Linked DNA regions of Oryctolagus cuniculus. The protein of the gene in region 1 binds, or shares a complex with, the protein of each later gene. Links are inferred from orthologs where the notes say so. Each region holds a gene or a part of one and is shown in the gene's direction. Other genes may lie near its edges.

Evidence for each region.
Region 2: the proteins of ETFB (region 1) and ETFA are in contact, whole or in part, in a crystal structure (PDB 2A1U), measured with the Homo sapiens proteins. The link is inferred for Oryctolagus cuniculus from reciprocal best matches to the Homo sapiens genes ETFB and ETFA. Residues at the interface, in NP_001976.1 of Homo sapiens: Ile14, Tyr16, Val18, Ile20, Val22, Val29, Thr31, Phe41, Leu102, Arg106, Lys124, Gln125, Ile127, Asp128, Asp129, Asp130, Cys131, Asn132, Gln133, Gln136, Met137, Ala139, Gly140, Phe141, Asp143, Trp144, Pro145, Gln146, Thr148, Phe149; in NP_000117.1 of Homo sapiens: Glu27, Leu88, Pro89, Glu90, Ser113, Ala114, Phe115, Lys117, Asn118, Pro121, Arg122, Ala124, Ala125, Lys126, Glu128, Val129, Ala130, Pro131, Ile132, Ser133, Arg146, Thr147, Ile148, Tyr149, Ala150, Gly151, Asn152, Ala153, Leu154, Cys155.

What each region holds. Positions count from the first base shown.
Region 1 is NC_091449.1:6,947,401-6,951,850, forward strand, and holds the start of ETFB (electron transfer flavoprotein subunit beta), read left to right. Parts: upstream 1-1,610; 5' UTR 1,611-1,702; coding exon 1,703-1,759; exon of another isoform or gene 1,760-2,165; intron 2,166-4,450. Other genes in the region: CLDND2 (claudin domain-containing protein 2), read left to right, coding at 1-98, 229-369, 687-806, 1,171-1,244. UniProt on the Homo sapiens protein: Heterodimeric electron transfer flavoprotein that accepts electrons from several mitochondrial dehydrogenases, including acyl-CoA dehydrogenases, glutaryl-CoA and sarcosine dehydrogenase.
Region 2 is NC_091443.1:106,917,412-106,921,207, reverse strand, and holds part of ETFA (electron transfer flavoprotein subunit alpha, mitochondrial), read left to right. Parts: intron 1-173; coding exon 174-320; intron 321-3,796. UniProt on the Homo sapiens protein: Heterodimeric electron transfer flavoprotein that accepts electrons from several mitochondrial dehydrogenases, including acyl-CoA dehydrogenases, glutaryl-CoA and sarcosine dehydrogenase.

The sequences.
Region 1 (4,450 bases):
GTCCACCGCCAGCAACTACTGGACGCGCCACCATGGGGGTCACAGCGGCCTGTGGCAGGAGTGCAGCCACGGCACCTGCTCCAACATCCCCTGCCAGAGTGAGCGGCCCGGGGCCGGGCGGCGTCCGCCCTCCGCGCGCGCCACCTCCAGGCCTCTCGGTCCGCGCCCGGCCCAGCCCCGGGTGGGGGCGCCCAGTGCGGCAGGCTGACGCGGCCCGCTCGCCCGCAGCCATGCTGGCCGTGACCGGGGCGTGCATGGTGCTGGCGACCGGCTTCGGCATCGTGGCCACGGTGATGGGAATGAAGATTCTGTGCCATCAGGGGGAGTCGCTGCGGGGCCAGGTCACGAGCGCCTTCCTCTTCCTCGCCGGTGAGACGGCGGCGGCGCCCGGGGGCGGAGCTGGGAGGGGTGGGCGTGGCCTGACAGACGGGGCGGGAGGCCGCGGGGAGGGGCGTGGCTGGAGGCGTGGGCTGGACGCGGGGGCGTGGCTGGAGGCGTGGACGGGACGCGGGGTCGTGGCTGGCGGAGGGGCAGGGCCCGGGGCGGACGGCGAGGTGTGGGCGGGACGCGGGGGCGTGGCTGGCGGAGGGGCAGGGCCCGGGGCGGACGGCGAGGCGTGCGTGGGCCCGCGGCGGCCCCACCTGCGCCTGGCCACGCTCACCCGAGGCGCTGGCGGGCCGGCCCAGGTTTGCTGCTGCTGATCGCTTTGACGGGCTACACAGTGAAGACTGCCTGGAAGAACGACGTCTTCTTCTCCTGGTCCTATTTCTTGGGGTGGCTGGCTTTACCCTTCTCTATTCTCGCGGGTAACCTGGGCCGCGGGGAGAGGGGACACTGCCCTGGGACGCCCCGCCCTCGCCAGGGCCCGACCCTAGCCCCGCCCCTCCTTGGGCCCCGCCCCCGCCCAGCCCCGCCCCCGCAGAGCTGGGCAAGCCGCGCGCCCCCAGCCCCCGCACTGGGACCCCCTTCCCCTCCGCGCCCCCGCCTTCCCGGCCCCTCCCCCACCCCCGACCCCGCAGAACTGGCCGAGCCGCGCGCCCCCAGCCCCCGCACTGGGACCCCCTTCCCCTCCCCCGCCTTCCCGGCCCCGCCCCCACCCCCGACCCCGCAGAACTGGCAGAGCCGCGCGCCCCCAGCCCCCGCGCCGGGACCCCCTTCCCCTCCCGCCAGGCTTCTGCTTCCTGCTGGCGGACATGATCGTGCAGAGCACGGACGCCATCAGCGGCTTCCCGGTGTGCCTGTGAGCGCAGCCCGTCCCGACGCGGAATAAAGGAACGGATTTCGGCCACGCGGCTCCGCGCGCCTCTCGGGGGGACAGGGCCACGGGGGGCGGGGGCCGTGCACGCGGCTGACCTGGGGTCGTCCCCCGGGGTCACGGGTACAAAGGGCGCGGCGACTCGGAGAGGCGGGCAGGCGGCCGGCCCCCGCACGACCTTTCCCCTAATTTCCCGCCACGCCCCCTTCTGGCCACGCCCCGTCCCCCTCCCGCTCCAGACCGGCTCTCCGTGGGTCCGCGTCCGCTGGCCACACCCCTCCTTACCTCCGGCCTCCTGATTGGTCACCTTTCCGGGCGGGGCGCGGACTGCGCAGCCGCGGAGTGGCGGGCGGCGCGGCGCGCAGGCGCAGAGAGGGACGGGGGCGGGGCGTTCGGGCGGGGAGGTCCGGGGTGCCGCCGGCCCCGGCCGCTGGCTGCTGCGGGAAGATGGCGGAGCTGCGCGCGCTCGTGGCTGTCAAGAGGGTTATCGACTTCGCCGTGAAGGTGACCGGGGCCTCCCCCCTTCCTGCTTCCAAGTGGTGCCCCGCGGCCGTGGGCTTCCGGGATCACGAGCGCGCCATGGGCGGGGGTCTGCTCGTAACCCCTGACCCAGTCGTCAAAGTCACGGGCAGACGCCGAGGACTGTGAGGTCGCGACCCCGTGCACACTCTCCCGATGACTGTCCTAGCGGCCGGAGCAGCCACGAGCCTTGCTTAACGCGGGGAAACTGAGGCACGGCGCGCCCACCCGGCCGGGGAGGGCCAGGGCCGGGGGTCCCGTCCACGACCCCCCGGTTCTTCGCTCGGACTCGGCGCGTGGCTCCGAGGCGAGCTTTCTGACCGCAGCCCCCGGAGTGTGCAGACTGGGGGGACCCCCAGAAGCCGGCGTTCCCCGTCCGCGGCCCCCGGGGGTGAGCGCCAAGGCTCTGGCTGGGGAGGGGCCGACAGGGGTGAAAGGTCAAGCTTGGGGGTGGTGGGGCAGGGGCTTCAGGTCCCCAGAGCCCGGCTTGGAGGCGGGAAGCAGCCCCTCCGTTTCTCTCAGTGCTTGGCCTGAGCTGCCCATGTGGCTCCGCTGTGCCAGCAGCGCGGGCGCTCACCTCTGGGTGCCCCCCCAGCCCGTCCCGGGGCGCTGAGGCCCACTGGGGCCCTGTCTTCCCCAGAGCACCCAGCCAGGACAGAAACCCAGCCAGGCCAGCCCAGCTCCGGACCGCCTGCCGCTCCCTCCCGGGCGTGGGCCAGGGCTGAGTGGCGCTTCTCCAGGGGTCGCGCGACCCCGCGCTCCTGCTTGGAGCCCCCCTCCCCTGGACTCCTGCAGCCCCCTAGGGCTCCCTCCGCCCCGGGCCTGGGCGCAGGTCTGTCTCCACTCAGTCAGTCCGGCACAGAGCCCTGCGCACGGGTGCCTCCAGCGTGTTCGGCCCCGCCTGCACCTGCCTGCACCTGCGCCTGCACACTGCCCCCCTTCCATCCCGCTGGGCGTGTCTGTCGACGCCCCTTTCGGAACAAACAGGGGATCCAGACACTGCAGCTACCGGAACACCAGGCCTGGACGCCGTCCACGCCCCTCCAGGGTCCTCTCTACCTCCCCTGGCCCCTTGCCCTAGTCTCCTCGCACACCCGCAGTCTCTCCCCTCAGCCTGGCCTTAGGGATCCCGGCGGCCCCGCTCAGGCGGCCATGTCCCCTCTGGGACCCTCACCCCACCTGCTCCTCCTTTCCCTGGCTCCGGCCCCCCCTGCTTCCGGTCCCAGCGTCACCACCTCCAGGAAGCCCTCCATGCACCTCCTCAGGTTACTGAGGTGTGTCTCAGGGCCCCTGCAGAACCCTGGCTTGCCTCTACCGCCCTCCCCCACACACACCAGGCCCTCGTGGCCACACCCACCTCCCACCCCCAGCCTGGCAGCTGTTGCACTGCTCACCCCGTCGTCACCTCTGTGGGGCCTTCCGTGGTCGTGGTCGCCTGCTTGAAGCCACAGCCCCAGAGTCCCCCCCCCCCCCCCCCCGCCGGACAGTGGAATTTACTCCCTACTGCTTTAGTGCCTGTCCCCTTCCTCTGGAATGGGCAGTGGCAAGAGGTCGTGGGATGTGTTCGCCGCTGGCAGGTGCACCACTGGAAACGGGACAGTGCGAGGCGCGTGCTAGGTGGTGGCTGGCGCTGCTGGAGGCCGCGGGGGACACTGTGGAGTCGCTGAGGGCAGGTGCCTCTGTTTCCCGGTCCGAACGGCCTCTGCCCCCCTCGGGGCTCCCGCTCTGGCCGTGTGTGGGAAGGCAGGTGCCTCTGTGTTTCCCGATCCGAACGGCCTCTGCCCCCCCCCCCGGGCGTGGGGCTCCCGCTCCGGCCGTGTGTGGGAAGGCAGGTGCCTCTGTTTCCCGGTCCCCACGGCCTCTGCCCCCCTCGGGGCTCCCACTCCGGCCGTGCGTGGGAAGGCAGGTGCCTCTGTGTGTTTCCCGGTCCCCACGGCCTCTGCCCCCCCCCTCGGGGCTCCCGCTCCGGCCGTGCATGGGAAGGCAGGTGCCTCTGTGTGTTTCCTGGTCCCCACGGCCTCTGCCCTCCTCGGGGCTCCCGCTCCGGCTGTGCGTGGGAAGGCAGGTGCCTCTGTGTGTTTCCTGGTCCCCACGGCCTCTGCCCCCCCTCGGGGCTCCCGCTCTGGCCGTGCATGGGAAGGCAGGTGCCTCTGTGTGTTTCCCGGTCCCCACGGCCTCTGCCCCCCCCGGCGGGGGGGCTCCCGCTCTGGCCGTGCGTGGGAAGGCAGGTGCCTCTGTGTGTTTCCCGGTCCCCACGGCCTCCGCCCCCCTCCCCGGGGGGCTCCTGCGGCACCCCCTCCGGCCTGTTTTCTCCAGATGTCTCATGGGAAGGTGTGCTGGCTGCCCCTCCTGCCCCCGCGTGGCCCTGGCTGCTGTGCTGGCTCTGTGCCCCAGCACGTGGCCGGCCACGCACAAGGACAGCCTGCATCCAACCCAGTCCCTGGGGGCTGTGTCCAGGGTTCGAGAAGAGTTGCCAGGAATCTACAGGGAGCCTCCTGGACACAGGGCAGCCGGTCCCGAGGCCCTGTCCTCCCTGCCGGGGCACGCTTGGGGACAGACCGCAGGTGTCGTGGCCAAGGCACATGGCCTTCCTGCCCCTCGGTCACTCCATCTGAAGTGAGGGTGGGACGGGCAGTGGCCAGCCCACAGGCCTCCAGGTGAAGCGATTAACATGCC
Region 2 (3,796 bases), on another chromosome or scaffold:
ACTCTGATACGGAATGTGGGCATCCAAAGCAGCAGCTTGACCACTGTGCCAAACATGCACCCCTACGTCTGTTACAGAACTGAGTATTGTGTGCAAAATAGTTTCCTTGCAAGCACACACTCCTAACAAGTATCAAAATTCTTTTTTTTCTTTCATTTTTTCCCTCCGTTTAGGCCTCACTGCTGCGATTTCAGAGTACTCTGGTAATAGCCGAACACGCGAATGACTCCCTAGCACCCATTACTTTAAACACCATCACTGCAGCCAAGCGTCTGGGAGGAGATGTGTCCTGCTTAGTGGCTGGAACCAAATGTGACAAGGTGAGAAATTTTTAAGGTCAGCAGAAGCAAATGTAATCTCCATCAAGAGACAGGGAAAGATGGCAACAGAGAATTATGCCAAAAGGACTGTAACCCAGGCAGGGCTATAATCCTCCTTAAATGGCCAGCGTTAGAACCGTTAGCTGCGTGTGAGAAAGGAGCTAAAGGGTGTGCTACTAAGCATTTTCTTTTGAAATGAGGTGGGAAGCTTGATTGAGTTCCGTTGGCATCATCGTGTGCCATCAGGTACCCTAGAGTGATACTGTGGGAGTCCTCTCAGAGGTTAATAGCCAACTCCCTTTCTGTATGGATGAATATAACTGCTTCTAATTCCCAAAAGAGGTAAATCTGAACAAAGTGTCGTGGGTATTAATTTTTACTTAGTGGAACAACTCAAAAGCAAGGTCTGTCTTTACCAAATTATAGCTGGTACTAAAAGATTCTCTTGGTTGTTGTTAAATATGGAAACCACAGCTTTGGAAGCCAACCCCCAGAGGTGCTGTGACCCCTGGAAGGCGCAGGGTCTGCATCCCCCTGGAGGTGCTGTAACCCCTGGAAGGCACAGGGTCCGCATCCCCCCAAGAGGTGCTGTGACCCCTGGAAGGTACAGGGTCTGTATCCCCCCCAGAGGTGCTGTAACCCCTGGAAGGCACAGGGTCTGCATCCCCCCGGAGGTGCTGTGACCCCTGGAAGGTGCAGGGTCTGCATCCCCCTGGAGGTGCTGTGACCCCTGGAAGGCGCAGGGTCTGCATCCCCCCAGAGCTGCCGTAACCCCTGGAAGGTGCAGGGTCTGCATCCCCCCAGAGGTGCTGTGACCCCTGGAAGGCTCAGGGTCTGCATCCCCCTGGAGGTGCTGTGACCCCTGGAAGGTGCAGGGTCTGCATCCCCCCAGAGGTGCTGTGACCCCTGGAAGGCACAGGGTCTGCATCCCCCCAGAGGTGCTGTGACCCCTGGAAGGTGCAGGGTCTGCATCCCCCCAGAGGTGCTGTAACCCCTGGAAGGCACAGGGTCTGCATCCCCCCAGAGGTGCTGTGACCCCTGGAAGGTGCAGGGTCTGCATCCCCCCAGAGGTGCTGTAACCCCTGGAAGGCACAGGGTCTGCATCCCCCCAGAGGTGCTGTGACCCCTGGAAGGTGCAGGGTCTGCATCCCCCTGGAGGTGCTGTGACCCCTGGAAGGTGCAGGGTCTGCATCCCCCCAGAGGTGCTGTGACCCCTGGAAGGTGCAGGGTCTGCATCCCCCCGGAGGTGCTGTGACCCCTGGAAGGCACAGGGTCTGCATCCCCCCAGAGGTGCTGTAACCCCTGGAAGGCGCAGGGTCTGCATCCCCGGCTGTGGTATAGATGAACACTTCAGTTAGCTTACTGAGCTTGAGCCACCGTTCCCTCTCACTGCAGAAGGGAGTTGCCCACTGTGTGGCTGTGGCCTTGGACTTCATGGAGGGATTGTATGTGGAGAGAATGTTCATTAAACTAAGGTGCAGAGCCTGTGGTACATAGGTTCCCAGGGTCAGAGTTGCTTCTGTAATTCCTTCTGTGAAATTTGCATTTTAAAAGAAGGTGTCCTTGCAGCAGGTTTAGGGTTAGTTATGTGGATTTGTTTGCATCGTTTCTGTTAACAACTGTTGAATGTTATGTAGTTGATGTTAGGCATGATGTGTGATGGTATGACTAAGCTATCTTTTCACGGTTGCTTCATTTTCAGATATATACAGATTTTGGATTTGTTTTGCTATGATGTTAAATAATTATCCTATCACTTTGAAATATTTGAAATCTGCTTAGTTATAATCTTGTTATGTCATATTCTAATCTTAAAGCGACCAGAACCTGTATAAAGATGTTTGTGATACAAGCAATTTCAGTTTCCCACTGTTTCTTTAGCCATTTATCATAAACAGCAAGTGATTCTTCTGTATAATGCTGGAAGTTTTTGCCAGTTAAAAAATGTTGAGATTGGAAAAATTCTGTACGTTTTTGTATCCTGCGCTGCTATACAGCTACTTGGGAGTGAACTGTGTTTCTTAGTTGGAAATTCTGCTCGAGTTAGAGAAGCTAAGTACAGATGTAGCCATAATAAAGGGCCTCTGAGCCCCGACCCACACTGTGTCCATCTTCGGTGAGAATGGCTGCCACTTTGCAGTTCATGGAGAGGGGCAGGAGGCATGGCCTTTCATGCCCACTCCTCGGTGAATCAGCCTGAGGTGAACAGGGAGACAGAAGGCAATAATATGACTGATGGGATTGCTGAAAGAGAAACTGGTCGTGCTGTATTAGTGGCGTTCTGTGTACAGAGGCTGAGGCGTCAGAAAGCTCTCTCAGTTCCTCATCCTGATTCCAAACAAGGAAAGCGAGGAATTAAAATGGGAAATATTTTGCTTTGTCATAGATACATATATGAGGGTATATCAAAAAATTCATGGAATAGTAGAGTCGAAAGATAAGTTCATTCTGTTGCAAAAAAACATTTTTGAAACACTTGCATAGTTTTTTAAAAACTCTTTGAAGATTCCTCATACGCATGGACTTCAAAATTTTTTGCACCAAAATAAACATCTTTTAATTTCATTTCCCATGAGCTTTATTTATTTATTTATTTATTTATTTCCTCATTTTATTTGAAAGGCAGAGACAGAGAGCAAGACCGGGACAGAGAGGGCATAGTTCACTCCTCAGCGGCCAGGGCTGGGCCAGGTGGAAGGAAGATGGTATCTCAGATTTCAACCCATGTTTCCCACCTGGGTGGCAGGACAAGTGCTCACACCATACCTGCTGCCTCCCAGGAAGCACTTCAGCAGGAAGCTGGAATCAGAAGCAGAGCCAGGACTTGAGCCAGGCACTCCAGCATGGAGGCATCTTAACTGCTGTGCCCAAGCCTGGCCCTCTGTGGGCTTGTGAAGTTCCTCGTATGTTTGTGGGCAGGACTCTGTACTTGACAGGGGTCGTTTACGAGCGTTAGGTTTTCTGTCTTGCTCAGAGTTAAAAATTTTAATATCAGCGGAAATTGTTGTTGTCAAATAAAGCGCGGTAGAGTACAGGATGGTTAAGTCTGCTCTTTCCCTCCAGGAAAACCTAAGTCTGAAATGTCCTAGGCGTGTTGTTGGGAGACAGAGAACTCATTTTCGCCATTTCTGAAGTGATAAACTTACCTTGCATTGAATCAAAGGGAAAGAACACAGTCCACAACTGAATTTGAGTAAACAGCCGTACCCACTTTTGTTGATCGGTTAGCACTGTTTTTTTTTTTCCAAGGCAGAAATTTTTGTTAAAATCTTTTTTAGTAGCGCTATGTAAAGTCCATAGGTACTAAAATCAGTTGATGTAAGATTTTCTTTGTTGCAGAATTAAAAATTCCTTGGTAGGTTGTTCTTTCGCTAATAAAAATGATTTTCATAGTTGGACACTAAGATTTTGTGCTCTGTTGGTATTTGTAATGGTCCCTCTTTTTGCATATTTCTTATGCGTACAGTTAGGAACTT